2 linked regions of the Daphnia pulex genome follow. The protein of the gene in region 2 interacts with the protein of the main gene of each other region in a biochemical or structural test. Links are inferred from orthologs where the notes say so. Each region holds a gene or a part of one and is shown on either strand. Other genes may lie near its edges.

Region 1 (8,058 bases), on a different chromosome or scaffold from region 2:
TAGCCTACAGTAGTGTTCTCATGTAATTGGATTCCATATCCTTATTCCTTTTTTTCAGTTATATTTCTTTGGGTATTTAGTACTGTTGTCAAATTAAACTTAACGCCGTTGTAATAACTATAGTAGTCAGCTGCTGCGGCAGTGATCAATATAGAAGATAGTACTGAAATCGCTACCCCATTGATGTGAATGTTTCTAATCACTTTCTTTTTGTCACAGTGATTCTATATATCCATTCCCCTGAACTTGTACAACATGGCAGAGCTTGAAGACACTCAGTTCGAGTCAGGGGATTCTGGAGCTTCAGCAACATTTCCCATGCAATGCTCTGCTCTTCGCAAGAACGGTTTCGTCATGTTGAAGGTGATTATATAATAATAGAAATTATTTTAATCTTCATTGTACTTAAAGTGAATTTCATTTGAAGGCAAGGCCTTGCAAGATTGTTGAGATGTCCACATCCAAGACTGGCAAACATGGCCACGCCAAGGTTCACATGGTTGGTATCGACATTTTCAATGGCAAGAAACTTGAAGATATTTGCCCTTCCACCCACAACATGGATGTCCCTGTTGTCAAGAGGGAGGATTTCACTGTAATATAAAATTACAACTTTGATTATGTTAGTTTGGAATTAACAAAATTTTTGTTTTAGCTCATTGACATATCTGGTGATGGCTTTCTTTCAATGATGAATGACAACGGAGATTTGCGTGAAGATCTCAAGGTTCCAGAAGGAGACTTGGGTAACCAAATCAGGGCTGATTTCGAAAATGGTCGCGAACTTCTGGTAAGCTAATTTTACCCTATGCGATGTATTGTTCAATTTGATATTAAGAGTGGATGTATAATCACCTGTTTTTTCTTCTATAGTGTACCGTTTTGAAAGCCTGCGGCGAAGAGTGTGTGATTGCCGTTAAAGCCAACACAGCTGCCGAAAAGTAATTCACACAAATTTGTGAAGTTTCACTTCCAACTGGTTACCAATAAAAATGGAGAGAAACACAAAAAAATAAACGGGAAACAGCTGTGGATATTGGATTTAAATTCTACTTTCTTTCTTTTAATTTTGCCTACTACCGATTGATGTAAATCGTGGGGAGAAATGGGTATCTTGACCTTGTTGCCTCGTTTCATTGGATAAGTCCATCTCTTGTTCTGGTTTATTATTGCCTCCCCCGTTCGACCCAATGGGTCAATAGACAGACTTGTTAATGAACACTACGCTATTCTGCAGTTGATTGCAAGATAGTTGTTTAACCTAAACCTTACTCATACCCATTTCCCATGCAGCAAAACGAAAGAGTTCAATAAACCAATTTCAAGCACTTCAAAAATAATGGAGCCTTAAATTTAACGATTTTTACTTCAAACTTTTATTTTCCAATCACTCAACATGTGAATTGAAGCAAAACGGGCAACAACTTGATTGGGTAATGGATGTTATACTTTACAGGAGGGGAAAAACTTGGTTGAATAAGGGAAATAATAGGAAAATGCAATTTATAATATTATGTATCAGTTAAGGATCGCTTTTTCCTTGTCTTTTCTGCAAAGCATTAGCCAGATCTTCGCTGAAAGCCTGCTTTTGCTTTTGATCGGCCAAAGGCTGAATGGAACGCAGCCCGTTGACAATATCCTTAGTCTTACCGAAGTAAATTTCATTCAAAGTGTGCCTAATTTTGTTCTCCATATCTTCGACAAGACGACCCATGTTTACGATGTGCGACGTAGGCTCGCTTACTGTTCCGTCTTGCTCCATCTAACACGAGAGAAAAAATCGGTTCAATTTAAGGGAAATATCTCATGGTCATAAAAGTAAACAATAATATTACCTGACGCGTTAAGCTTCCACCAAGGTTCATCGTTCCGGAACCGGGACGACTGGTCTGCAGCCATAGCATGACTGTCGACGTAAGCTTATAGTGAGCCGAACGGCCGGTAGACTTTTCTTGCACTTCAATGACATGAATCGAATCCCAGCACCCTTTAATATTTCGAGCGCCATCACCAGCTCGTTTTATAAGAATGACTCCAGCAAATCCATGATCCAGGTCCCATAGGTACACAGAGGAGACTCCACCCTCAAAATACATCTGACGGTATTGATCAAATGCAGCATTGGCCTCTACTTCCAATCTACGTAGCCTGTCCGTGGGCAGTGTTCCATCTTCAAGAGGTGGTTCATAGGTGTTGCTCCATGGAGAACTGACAGATCAACATTTGTTATTATTAGGGTCAAGTTTTCAACACAACTGTAAATACTGTTACCGATAAGAATCTCCATCACGGTTATAATCACAGAGAAGATAATCTTTTCCTTCTCTCTTATCACGTGCAATTTTAAGTGGTTGATCCACTGATGATAGAAGATCCTCACACAGTTCAGGAACTAGGTCAATCAGGTCACTCAGGTTTTTTTCAATTTGCTGAGGAGGGAGACGTCGCATTAAGTCCAACGCTCGGTTCAATTGCTCCTCCGTCTGCAGAAACAAATAACAAGAGAAATATTATTAGACAAGTCAAATGTCAAATAAAATTTTCACTCTGAAATTGGAGGTTTAATACTAGCCGAAAATATGAATAAATTCGATTTTTAACTTACCATTGTTCAAAATGGACAGAAACGACAAACTTTTGAGATAATAAAATGGAACTGAAAAGGATTTCCGGCCTTTTTTCCCAGGAAAAACCAAAAAATGGGCGAGGTGAAAAATGAGTGGCGGTGACAAACAGAAATGTATGTTCTGAATCCGAAGTTGCGCTAAGCAATGAAAATCTCTGCCTGCTGGGAAATAAAAAAACGGTTGCGGATTCGAATTAGAATTCGAGATAAATCCACATATTAAATGACGGAAGTGTTGTTGGTCATTAAATAATAGCTGAGAATATTTAAAAAACAATTACAAAAACGATTTTTCTTTAAAATCAATCAAGTTTTGATCAATCTCGGAGAACGCCTCCTGGCGGCTGCATAGAAGGTTAATCCTCGAAACGTCAGTTTTGCCAGTATTAACCGCCTGACTCATATTTTTAGGTTAAAACTAAAAGTGTTTTCTGTTAGAAGTTTAAAGAAGTTATAGTGGAATCGTGGTTCACAATCAGTGATAGCCTCAAATGGTTACAATAGTCCGGCTGCCGTGAGGACTTGTTTGTAATTTTGAGGAAACGGCCAATTTGTGCCCAACCCACCTGTTGTTTTAAATGACGATGCCCACCACCCTCGTGAGTGATGGGGAAAAGGCCGAAATCAAAGTCAAGGCAGCTTTCAGCGGGTATACTTCATGTTTTTTTTTTCAATCTTTGTATGTACTTACCTCATTAGTTATTTTGCAGGAAAATTCTCGTGACTTACATAAACTCTGAGATCCTGTTGGATGATCTCCAAAATGAGATGCGAGCCATTTGCCAGTTTTCTCCTGATCAAGAGTTTACCATGAAATGGATTGACGAAGAAGGTTGTACAACACATACAATCCACACAGTTTTCTTTTACTATGATTTACATCCCTTTAGGTGATCCATGTACTATCTCTTCACAAGTTGAAATTGATGAAGCTATTCGTCTGTATGAAGTGAACAACGATTCAGAAATCACTATTCATGGTATTTTTTAATTCTACTTGTGTATAAACTTGAAATTTAATTACTCTTTTTAAAATTCAGTTTTCCCTAGTGTCCCTGTGTCACCAGGGCTTCCATGTTTTGGAGAAGATAAAAGTATTTATCGACGTGGTGCTCGTAGATGGCGGAAACTGTACAGAGTCAATGGACATCTTTTCCAGGCAAAACGTTTCAATCGCGTAAGTTTATCCATGCAACACCATTGATTCCCAGTAATCCTTACTTTCCATTTTTATGACAGAGAGCTTCTTGCGCTTACTGTCACGACCGTATCTGGGGTCTAGGTCGGCAAGGATTCAAATGCATTCAGTGCAAGCTGCTCATCCACAAAAAGTGCCACAAGCTTATCAAGATCAGTTGCAACACGGAGCAAGTGGCCGCTCTGAACACTCCATCCCAGGTTCATCTACTGTCAAATAGCGCGCTCAATACCAGTTCAGGGTCCGCAGTGACCGCTGCTGCTATTCCATCTATAAGCCCTGTTGTTAATGCCGGAGAACCCCCGACAGCGCTGCGACAGAATGGTGATGGTACCGAAGCACCGTCCGCACCGCCAATAGTACAACCTATTTTTGAGTCTCACAGTGTGAGTGTTCCGGTTGATGGAAGTCCAGGTACTTTATATTTCCATACAAAACAATTCAGATTTTTAATTGTATACTTTAAAATATTAGAAGAAGGTGTCGAAGGTGGTGCTGTTCAACGTCCGTATTCGATGGCGGATTTTGAATTGATTCGTGTGATTGGTCGTGGTTCTTATGCTAAAGTGTTGATGGTTGAATTACGACGAACTCGTCGGGTTTACGCCATGAAAGTAATCAAAAAGGAACTTGTTACCGATGATGAGGTATAAGAAAATTGATTCTTTGATTTTATCAACAACTTCTTCTAATTGAACAACTCGACTTTCAGGATATTGACTGGGTTCAAACGGAAAAACATGTCTTTGAGACGGCATCCAACCATCCTTTCTTGGTTGGCTTGCATTCGTGTTTCCAGACGACGTCACGCCTTTTCTTTGTCATCGAATTCGTACGTGGTGGTGATTTAATGTTCCACATGCAGCGCCAAAGGCGACTTCCTGAGGAGCACGCTCGATTCTATTCGGCTGAAATTTCTTTGGCGCTCAATTTCCTACACGAGAAAGGAATTATTTACCGTGATCTGAAGCTAGATAACGTCCTACTGGACCATGAAGGTCATATCAAACTCACCGACTACGGAATGTGCAAAGAGGGCATCCGTCCGGGTGATACCACGTCTACCTTTTGTGGTACGCCCAACTATATCGCTCCTGAAATTCTGCGCGGAGAAGACTACAGTTTCAGGTAATGTTTACAAATTAAACCCAATAGAATCTGGAACGCTAACTCCCCTGTAGCGAAAATGTCTAACCTTTTTCTTCGTTTTTATCAGTGTGGATTGGTGGGCGCTGGGTGTATTGTTGTATGAAATGTTGGCCGGTCGTTCACCTTTCGACATCGTCGGCGCTTCAGAGAATCCTGACCAAAACACTGAAGATTATCTGTTTCACGGTAGAGCTTCATCTTGTCTTCTTTATTATAATATTTGCTTTGTGGAAACTCGCGAGTCCATTTGATAAAGTTCGCAAGAAAAACGGGGTCTTATCAAGATCGCGTGACCTTTTTCCACTTGAGAGGATTGTAAATGTGTTGTTTGTAAAACATTGTGTGTTTTTTCTTTTCTTTTCATATTGCAGTCATCCTGGAAAAGACGATTCGCATTCCCAGGTCGTTATCTGTGAAGGCTTCTTCTGTCCTCAAAGGGTTTCTTAATAAGAATCCAGCTGATCGTTTGGGTTGTCGAAAAGAAACGGGCTTTGTCGATATCGTCCATCATCCATTCTTTAAATCAGTCGACTGGGAAATGGTATGAACATCTCTCTCTTTTACACGTTTAATCCACATTCTAGGAACAGATTACTAATCTTTTTTCATACGTGCACAGTTGGAGAAGAAACAAGTGGCTCCACCTTACGTGCCTCGTCTAGATTCCGACCGTGATCTGGCTCACTTTCCACCCGAGTTCACAGACGAACCAGTCCAACTGACACCCGACGATCAGTAAGTGATGGATCGTCTGTCGATTAAGAATCGATTTTTATTTTTGTTTTATTTTTTGTTGCTTTGCAGGACGGTCATTGAACGCATCGATCAGTCTGAGTTTGAAGGTTTCGAGTACGTCAATCCTTTGCTCATGTCATTGGAAGACTGCGTCTAGGATTAGAATAGAAAACGAAGCATTCGCTTTCATGCCATTATAAGATTTACACTAAAAATTGGAACCACACACACACATGTTTCATAGGGAAAGTTTGGCAGGTTTCACGGCAGCAAAAATTCTAACAGCCTACCATTTCTTCTCTTTCGTTTTTTTCCCCCTCCCCTTTTCACCATCAGTTTATTCGGTCCAGTATTTTTAAATATGATAGATCAAGTCTTAATCGACTTTGCGTCCATTCCAGTTCTTGCCTCATTGGAACATCTTTCTTTCCCTCCGTCACCTTTTCGATCTGTTGTACAACTGCCTTCATCTCTTTTGTCTTCTTTTCTTTTTGTGTCACTTTTAAAAGCCATTTTGTTTTGGTCACTTTTAGCCAAAAAGAAAATCTCTGTCTGGTTAATTATTATATTTCCGCCTTACACAGATCGCCTTTTTCCGTCTTGTTAGAAATATACAAGAAAGATGTCGACACAATCAGCTAGATGGCATCCACAGTCAAGAAATGGTGGTGGCCTTTTAATATTATAATTGGTGAAACCTGTTGTTGTTCGATGGGAAAGGCATTTCTACGGTACGACGTGCCGTTAGCACAATCGTTGGTTGTCTTTATGCTAAACGATGTAATGCAGAGGAAAAAGGGGTTTATTACTAAATATCGATGAGAGAAAAGTAGTTTTTATCACGCACGAAACCACTCGTTTATTGGTTGAAATTTTTCGAACGAAGAAAGGAAAGAAAAAAAAAGCGTGTAGGAGGAAGTCGTTGTCGGACATTTCTTTTCTAGAAAGAAACGAACATCGACCGTTTTGCGGTTGGATTCCCCTATACATTTAAAGAGATACACACACACAAACTCGTCTTGTGTGTGTGTGTAAAGGAATAAAGAAAACCCCAGAAAACATTTTACGCTCTCTATTTTTATTCTTTCGGGGCCGCGGAAAATGTCCCTCACCCTATGGTGTTTTCTTATCCTTTTTTTCCCATTGCGCATTCTTTTAATTTCGATGAAAAAGGTTCTTTTATGGAAATATTTATAAAAGAATCAGCCCCTCTCTCTCCCCCCCTTAATAAAAACAAAATCAGGTTTATATCCTTGTTTTGTTTAAGAAGGATATCTTTTAGATTAGACAAATTTTCGTAATCAAGATTTCACACACACAATCAAGTTTTAGTCGAGTTTCGTTTTTTTTTTCATTTTTGTGGTTGCAGGCGGAGCGACACAACCCAAAAAGTTATACCGTTACATTTGTTACGTCTCGGGCTCTTTTTTCTTAACACACGTAGACCTTGGGTGCCAAAATGGCCTCCGGCTACTTAAAGGTCGTATTAAGCGTACTTGTAAATAATAAAAATGCTGCTGCATTTTAAAAATGTAGGTATAAACCTACGACAGACGCTTTCGTGATAACTTGGCATCCATTTGGCTGCCACATGTTTATTTGACTCGTATTTCCACGATGTTAGTCAAGAATTCAGTCGGAGAGAAAAGAAAAAAAAGGACACATAAATTCATGTTTTGGTAGCACGTGGAGGGGGTACACACACACACACACACTGAAAATCCAATCGGCGCCATGTTTTTTTCTTTTCTCCCGAACGCGAGGAATTCTCCAATCGATCGACAAACGTCCTTGAACCAGAATAATTGAAAAACACAATTTTGGGCGAGCGTGTTTGCCCTTTGCTAGGCAACAGTGTCCGCCGGTGTACTTTGCCTTCCTGTCTAATATCTGGTCTATGGCTGCTGTTACGTAAAACAAAGTGTTGAATTTATCTGCTGATTTTAAGAGTGTAGCAGCATTCAAAAGGCGTTGTGTTGGTCATGCCCAAAACATCAAATGATTCATTTAGCTCTCAAAGTTCAACCATCTGGCGTGGCAACAGATAAAAACAAACAAACACACAAAACGTTTTTGAGTCGACGACGTAATCGCGTTTGCAATCAATTGAACAATGTTTGACATCACATTTTACCTTATATTCTTAACGTTATTAATTTCGGGAGAGGCTAGACAACTTGGAAAGTTTACAGAAGAGAAAAAATAAAATATCTAAAAGCAAAACAACAACCGTGACGCCGCCGACTTGGAGCCATTCTTGAAACAATCAATGGCGAAGAACTACATAAAGAAGACGGGGATGATGAAAAGACGTGGGGGGAAGAAAGAAAGAAAGAAAATGGCGGTGTAA
Region 2 (7,277 bases):
TTCGGCGTGCCGTTTTTGGTGCTGGGCGCGCAGCTGATGCAGCCTCTGCGAGCGGTCACCAGTTGTTGCTGAATTCCCTTGTTGCTGTTGTTGCTGCTGCTGTTGTTGCTTCTGCTGGTGATCGTGAGCGGCGGCGGCCTGGCGTTGTTGCTGATCCATCAACCGTAAATAATGATGTTGTATTCTCTTCTGTTCATCTTGGGCGGCCTGTAAAAAGAATAAGAGAAAAGAATCGAACAATCAAATAAAAGAATAAAAACCAGAAATTCTAAAGCCAGAACAAACAACCGTTAGATGGCAACAGCAAATGGACTAGAAACGGGGCCACTAATTTCTTCCGCAACGGGAAAATAAACATTACGATCGAAATGGTTTACAACTCACAAAAATTCTTCGATTACAAGCCTATGCTCTATAGCTAGAAAAAAGAAAACTGATTTTCCCAAAGTGAAATCGTGTGTCTTTCACAATGTCGCTTGTGTGCACTTGAAAAAACCACAATATCCCGTCATTCAATTATTCCAACCCTCCTCTCTCTCGCGTAGAAAAAAATAGAAAATAAATAAAAAGCCGCAAATCCTGTGTACACGAACTTTGGCTCCCTGTGAACGCGTGGGAGTCCCATGAATTAAATGCGTAAAAAGTCGAGACTCGCTTTTAATCGAACATCATTATTCGACGAAACAATCGAGCGTCGGTGAAATGTTTCCGGTGAATCACTTGTTGTTTTCCCCCCTCTCCTTTTAGACGTCACATAAGGCGAGATGACGTCAACCCAAACTTCTTCTTTGTCCTCAATCATCCGCACGAATTTGAGTTTTTTGCAATTTACCTGGCGAGCGACGGCGATGGCCATTTGGCGTCCGAGCTCTGCACGGTCACGTTCATCGGGCGGAAGAGTTCGTCTGAGGACGTGATGGCGGTCCACTTCGCTCACGGCAGACGACCTGCCGATGCTTCCGGAATGACCGGAAGAAGATCTCCGCTCGCTCTGGTGGTGATGGTGAGATTGGTTTCCGGACGAAGGCATAATCATGTGGCCGCCGGCCATGGAATGATGACCCGAAACTGTCGGATCCGATCCGGATGACTGATGACCGGATTCTGGACTGGCTGGTGCGGATTTGCGGTGCTTGCCGAAGCGGAACATGGAGCCCAGGCCTTTCAAAAGGAGTCCGGCCGCGTTGGCGTTCTTCTTTTTGCTCTTGCGCGTCTCGTTCTTGTTGTTCAACATGGGAATTCCGATGTCCGATGGAGAGCGTGGCGGTGGCATCATTTCATTCACCTCAACTTCCAACGCTTCGTCCACTAAATCGCAAAGAGAAAATAAATAGAGAAATTAAAAAAAAAAGAATGTTCCAGTCTACTAGTCCGGAATAAATCCCGAAAGTTTCACGAAATTTTCAATGGACATTAAAACATTAGTCTGGTAAAACGCTTCCGGGTTGCTTACGTGTCTCCATGGGCTCTTTGTTGGTGCCGTCAGTTGGCTGGCCCGACTCGTCGTAGCTGCGATCGACAGCCGCTCGGAAACTTTCATTGCAGCCGCGTCCTCGAACCACCCGGATGGCCGTCGGCCGGTGATAGCCGTAGCAACCGATTTGAGGCTCCTCCTCCTGCATCTGGATCTCCTGGACGACCGTCTGGAGCGACTCCAAACTCGACGATTTCTTCAACCCCAAAGTCGGGCCGATGTCCCTTGAAGAGTTTCTTGAAGGCGGGTCAACCGGACGGACGAAAAGCGGCCGGCTATTCTCCTGCGACTTGTCTGATTCACGCACATTTAAAAAATCCACAACGGTTATCATTATTTAAATTTAAAAAAATGGCAAAATTGAAAAAAAATAAAATAAAAATAAAAACCGGATCAAACCGGCAACCAAAAAAGAAACGGAATAAAAAGCGTTACACCCAGCGCGATGCGATAAATAAAAATAAAAAACCGAGCAAGCATAATAAAACAAAGAGAGGTGCACACACACACGAGCAAGCGGCAATTGCGTTACGTACATGGAGGTAGCAGCGGCGGCCGTCTTTGGCCTTGTTGAAGGGATAGGACAGGTGACGGAGCGATTAGGGGAAGGGATTCCACCGAAGAGACACGAGAACGTTGATGCTGATGATAATGATCCGTCATCATCATCATCATGGATGGGGCCACAGAGAGGCGACTACCCCGATCAACCGTGCCCGCAACCCCCCGGCGATTCGCTATTTTAACCAAAATCCAATTCCAATCCAGATAAGGCCAAACAGAGGGTGGGAAAAAAGAAATTTCAGTCGAGGTTAGTCTCTTGGTTAATTTGCGTGTGCAGAAAAGGAGAGAGAGAGAGAGAAAGTGAAAAAAAAAGATTTATCGCAATTAATCCGCAATAATGAACTTCTCCGGGTAATTCCGCAATTTCAAATGACTTTGACCTTCACGAAAAGTTCATTATTTTACAGAAAAAATGTTTTTAAAATATAAGTCACCAGTAAAAAGAAAGTTCAATGACAGAAGGAGACCGAGAAGGGGGGCCATTAAAAGAAAGTTAAGGGACAGCAGCAACAACAGCAACAACATGACAGACACACACACACACCTGTAGCCACACCACCAACACCCCCAACAACATCGTTGGGTTGATAAAGATTGGGACTGGATCGGTGATAGGTGGGTGAGCTGAGGTAATCCTTCTCCAGACGCGAAACCAAAGGATGGGCGTGACGACGCTTGACAGCGCGACGGATCACCCGACCTGAGTCACCCACACAACAACACGCCAGAGGACACGCAATGTTTCCATTTCAAGTCGGAGGAGTTGAGGGTTGTGGTAGGAGAGGGTAGACGAGAGAGAGAAAAAAGAACAAAATTCGAAGGTTCACGGTTAGGATGAGATTATTATCTAAATGTCTAAATGAATGTTATTTTGTTATTTCTCGTTACGTGGAAAAGCATCAAAAGGAGAAAAAAAGGTGAGAGAGTTAAATAAGCCGAAAGTAGTTAATATTATTCCCGATAAAAAAAAGTACGCCGACAAAAGAAGAAGCTTTTAGCCTATCACCAAATACACGGAGCGTCCAGGTGAGAATTTGTGAAATTAATGTCATTTTTATTTTACCTGATGGAGGCATGTTCTCTTTCACTGCGGATGTTTGCGGTTGTTGTTGTTGTTGTTGCTGTTCGCTTTCGGGCTGGGTCTGTTTCTGACGTTCTCTTTCCTCCCTGTAGAATTCAATAAAAATATTTCCGACGTGTTAAAACCGTATCGAGTCCCGTACGCTTCTAATTGTGTAATAATCATCGTTTTGGTCGTCTTGGTGACAATAGGAAAAAAGAGGAAAATAAAATCGCGTTGGTTCTTCTACCGACCTGAGTTTCTTATTCCTTTGATAAGTGTCCGTGTTCTTGGCGTCCAGCGAGGCGTGCCGTTTTTCCGACATGCTCTGACGACCAAACTGGTCGCGAGAAAAGCCGGGAGCGTTCGGGTCCGTGTCCAAAGAAGTCCTTCAAAAAAAGAAAAAAAAGAACAAAGAAAAAAACAAAACAATGAAATGACAAATAAAAAGAATTTCCCAAAACAATCAAAACAAAAAATAAAACGTGACGTACTGGCTGGTGTAGGTGGGCGCTTCCGAATCGCTGGGACGTCCATCGGATCGCATGGATGTTTCCGACAGGGGACTCTGGGGCGGTTGTGGCTGCTCGGCATTGGGCCACGGTCGGTCGCGTCCATCCGTTGGTCCAGAGCGTTGACCACCGGGACCACGAATGTTATTATTGGAATGTTGTTGTTGCTGCTGCCAAGGCAAGTTCATGGTCGTATCCGGTGTAGAGGCCACTGAGGAACCGTTGGACGTCGACATCATCATCATAGAGGGTGGGCGTGGCCTCGACTGCGGCAGGTAATCACCGTCGATCGAAACCACCTCGCCCGGCGTCAAATGGACCGTTGGGCTGTTTTGCGAATGCTGCTTCCGCCCTGGACCCTGCTGCACTACGCTCGTCTGGTGCCCACCGTTCGATTTCGACGAACTCATCAAAGTTTCCTGCAACTGTGTCGTGTTCCACGTTTCGTGCGTGGCCTTCAAAAATAAAACCAAAACAAAATTCAATCAATTCAAATTCAACTGGGGAAAAATCAAAAGTTGAAACTTACCCGGTAGTAACTCTCGTTGCGGAGATCAGAGGAGATTCCGGAGAGTCGATTGTCTTTCATGAGATTTCTCTCACGACTGTCTGATCCACTTCCGCTGACAAAAATGACGGTGGAACCGGATTGGTCGCTACTGCCTCCGGAATGATCGTAACTGCCGGAGCTGTCGCCCCCGTTGCCGCCCAGTCGAACCGTTCCGTTCACCGTGTCGTCCTGCGACTGCCCTTCCAGCGTCACTTCACGATCCTTGAGCGCGTGCATTTTGCGGGCAACCGTCAGGGTGATGTGCCCGGGCTTAGGACCCTCCTGGTGGACGGCTCGCCTCAATCCTTCCATCGCTTCCGTGTTGGATCGCCCCTGCAGAGAGACGCCGTTGACGTGAAGGAGCTGGTCGTTGGTGCAGAGCCGGCCGTCCCTGGAAGCGGCTCCTCCGTGCAGGACCGACTTGATGAAGATGCCCAGGTCGCTGGTGCCATTTCCCGATGACGACGTCGTCTTGCCTTTGACTGAAATGCCGAGGCCGGCCTTTTCCGTGTCGTGGACGGGAATGTCGAGTGTGAGGATCTCGCGCTGCTTCCAGGGCAGGAGCAGCAGACTCTCTTCGCTGGCCCTGCTGATGGATTTCATCTGCCGGGGCAATTTGGGACTCGTCTGCTGAGTTTGAGTCGACGATTGAAGCTGAGACGATTGAATTTGTTGATTTTGCAATTGGTTCGACTGTTGGATTTCTTCTTCCGTTTCCTGTCGGGAAATTAGGAGACGGGCGACACCACCGCTGGGAATGTTGCGCAAAAGGCTAACCACCTCGCTCTGAGTCTTGCCCGTCATTTCCACGCCGTTGACCTCCAAAAGTCGATCACCGGAGCGCAGTCGGCCATCCTCAATCGCGGCACCTGCAAAATATTACAACATTTTTTTAAAAGTCAAATTGATTGCCATTCCAAAAAAGAACAACAGGGAGGATTCCAGGAAAGAAAAGAAGGTTGGAAAACAACCTGGGAAAAAACGGAATTTGACATTTCTGAGCCAAGTCAAGAAAAACGAACGACAAAACGAACCTCTGGGTAAGATATTCTTGATGTAAATGGGGCAAAGCCCTCCAGCCGGATTGTCACGCGTCGTGACACTAAAGCCGAGTCCTTCATGGCCTTTCGTCAGCTCCAAATCCAGTTTTTTGCCGATTTTCCTCGTGCTGACAGTCATGAGGGCGTTGCTGGCTCGGCCCGTTCCAGGGACGACGGCCGGTGTCTTGCGAGTTGGCGACACGGCGGCTACACGGGAAGGGGGCGCCTGTTGTTGTTGAGTCTGTATTAGTTGCGGCTGTTGCTGTTGTTGTTGCGTCATTTCATCCAACTGATCCGACGCCGGGCCGCGATTCACTTCTCCGTTCGATTTGACTATCCGCAAACGAAGGTCACGACTCTGATTTTCCCAAATGAAGAAATAACAAAATAAAAATAATAATTCGATGAGGGTCTTCATTTTGGGAATGAACCCGTTTTTATGGATCGTGACTGGCGGCCTGATTAAGTAGACAATCAAGGTCAACTCAGAGAGAGAGGGGGGGAGGGGAGGGCAGGCAGATAAGCAATCGAAACGATAACAAAAATGCCAGGGCCAACAGCTAACAGCTGGGCGAGAAATCGTTCAGGAAAAAAAAGGAAAAGTTTTGCATTTTTTGGTAGTTTACAAAATCAAATGGCCGGAACGACCTTTTCGGAATGTGGCGGGAGGAGGAACAAAAACAGAAACAGCTGAGACAAACGAGATTGGCAAAAATGAGATAAGAGAAAAAGAAATATACCTGGAGGGCGTTGCGGAAGAGCTCCTGAGCTCGGTGGAAAGGCACGTCCTTGAGCGGATGCGAATTGATCTCGACGATGCGGTCGTGAACGGCGATGCGTCCGTCCCGGTAAATCCGGCCGCCGGGCTCGACGCCCTGCACCAATAGGCCCAATTCGTTACCCAGGGGCGAGTAATCGGGAACGACGTGGATGCCCAGCGGTTGGCCGCCTTCATTAGGCAACACCACCAGTTGAGTTGTTGCCAATTGGGACTGCATGTTGTTGTTGCTGCTGCTGTTGTTAAGGTGGTGCGGCTGGTAGAGGTGGTGATGGCCGTCGCTGAGCGGAATCGATTCACTGGTGGCGCCCACCGGTTCCCGTCTGAGGCTGCGGGTCCTCCGGTGCATCGTCTCCTCATAATCGGGCGGAGTAGTTGCGGTCGGCGTAGCCACCCCCGTCGGAGCCGTTGCGGCGGAAAGTAAGGCATTGTCGGCCGCTTCAGCCCACCGATATCCAGCATTGTTATGGCTTCCGCCGTTGGCGGCGCTGCCAACGCCTCCGCCAAAAATTTGCATCGAGACGCGAGCGCCGGATCGAGCGAACCGCGGGCCGGACGGGTGGCGTCGTACGACTTCCAAGTCACGTTCCTCGCAGTCGGAATCCGATGTGGGATCCACAATGGGGGCTGCCGACCACCTCTGCTCATGTGGCCATATGGTATTGACCCACATAATGTACAACAAAAGATAAACAAACAAACAAACGAAAAATAAATAAAATAAAATTCCAAACTGCAATTCACTGACACCGGATCAAACCGGTGCACAAAGATAATTCACACACAGAGAAAACTTTCAAGGATTATTATTATGATTGCCATTTTTTATCGAGAAGAGAAAAGAAGCTCCAAGGCTTTTTTTCTCTTTCTGTTTTTGGCCAGTAGAAAAACAGAAAAAATCGATTGGATTTTTGGAGCTTTCTCCTGGAAAAAAAGGACTCCCAGTTTGGTCATGTGTGTTACGTTACCTTGTAGTCTCTGCTGTTGGAGGTGGTAGGTGGCATGTCTGCGTGGTGGTGGAGGTGATGGCCGGTGGAGGCTGAAGAAGATGAGGAGCCTGTGGTGTTTGGCGCGGTAGACGGAGCGTCGGGACTGATGCGATTGAGAGCCGGCTCTGATCCGCGTCTGACCTGCAGGTGTAGGTGATCGACCATGAGACCCGTGGCCGCTTCTTGGCCTGTGACCTCAATGTCCTTTCGACTGGCTGGATGACTGCTGCCGACGACGCCGTAGCCGTGGTGATGGAGACCGAAATCGGTCGGCGAAGGTGAACCGGAGTTGGAACTGGCCGAAGTGCCG

What was found.
Region 1: of the proteins of partitioning defective 3 homolog (region 2) and atypical protein kinase C-like, one has a biochemical effect on the other in vitro, tested with the Drosophila melanogaster proteins (2 studies listed by BioGRID). The link is inferred for Daphnia pulex from reciprocal best matches to the Drosophila melanogaster genes baz and aPKC.

What each region holds. Positions count from the first base shown.
Region 1 is NC_060022.1:4,025,027-4,033,084, forward strand, and holds atypical protein kinase C-like, read left to right. Parts: upstream 1-2,956; 5' UTR 2,957-3,204; coding exon 3,205-3,275; intron 3,276-3,336; coding exon 3,337-3,458; intron 3,459-3,516; coding exon 3,517-3,606; intron 3,607-3,666; coding exon 3,667-3,803; intron 3,804-3,865; coding exon 3,866-4,238; intron 4,239-4,298; coding exon 4,299-4,471; intron 4,472-4,536; coding exon 4,537-4,952; intron 4,953-5,040; coding exon 5,041-5,159; intron 5,160-5,344; coding exon 5,345-5,514; intron 5,515-5,592; coding exon 5,593-5,708; intron 5,709-5,777; coding exon 5,778-5,865; 3' UTR 5,866-6,342; downstream 6,343-8,058. Other genes in the region: eukaryotic translation initiation factor 5A, read left to right, coding at 256-363, 428-595, 656-790, 874-945; F-actin-capping protein subunit beta-like, read right to left, coding at 1,523-1,762, 1,836-2,208, 2,272-2,483, 2,606-2,608. UniProt on the Drosophila melanogaster protein: Serine/threonine protein kinase which is required for apico-basal cell polarity in the germ line as well as in epithelial and neural precursor cells, for epithelial planar cell polarity and for cell proliferation.
Region 2 is NC_060025.1:9,138,755-9,146,031, reverse strand, and holds part of partitioning defective 3 homolog, read right to left. Parts: coding exon 6,947-7,277; intron 6,619-6,946; coding exon 5,941-6,618; intron 5,559-5,940; coding exon 5,195-5,558; intron 5,030-5,194; coding exon 4,140-5,029; intron 4,066-4,139; coding exon 3,593-4,065; intron 3,488-3,592; coding exon 3,353-3,487; intron 3,206-3,352; coding exon 3,102-3,205; intron 2,739-3,101; coding exon 2,583-2,738; intron 2,212-2,582; coding exon 2,011-2,211; intron 1,769-2,010; coding exon 1,454-1,768; intron 1,309-1,453; coding exon 833-1,308; intron 208-832; coding exon 1-207.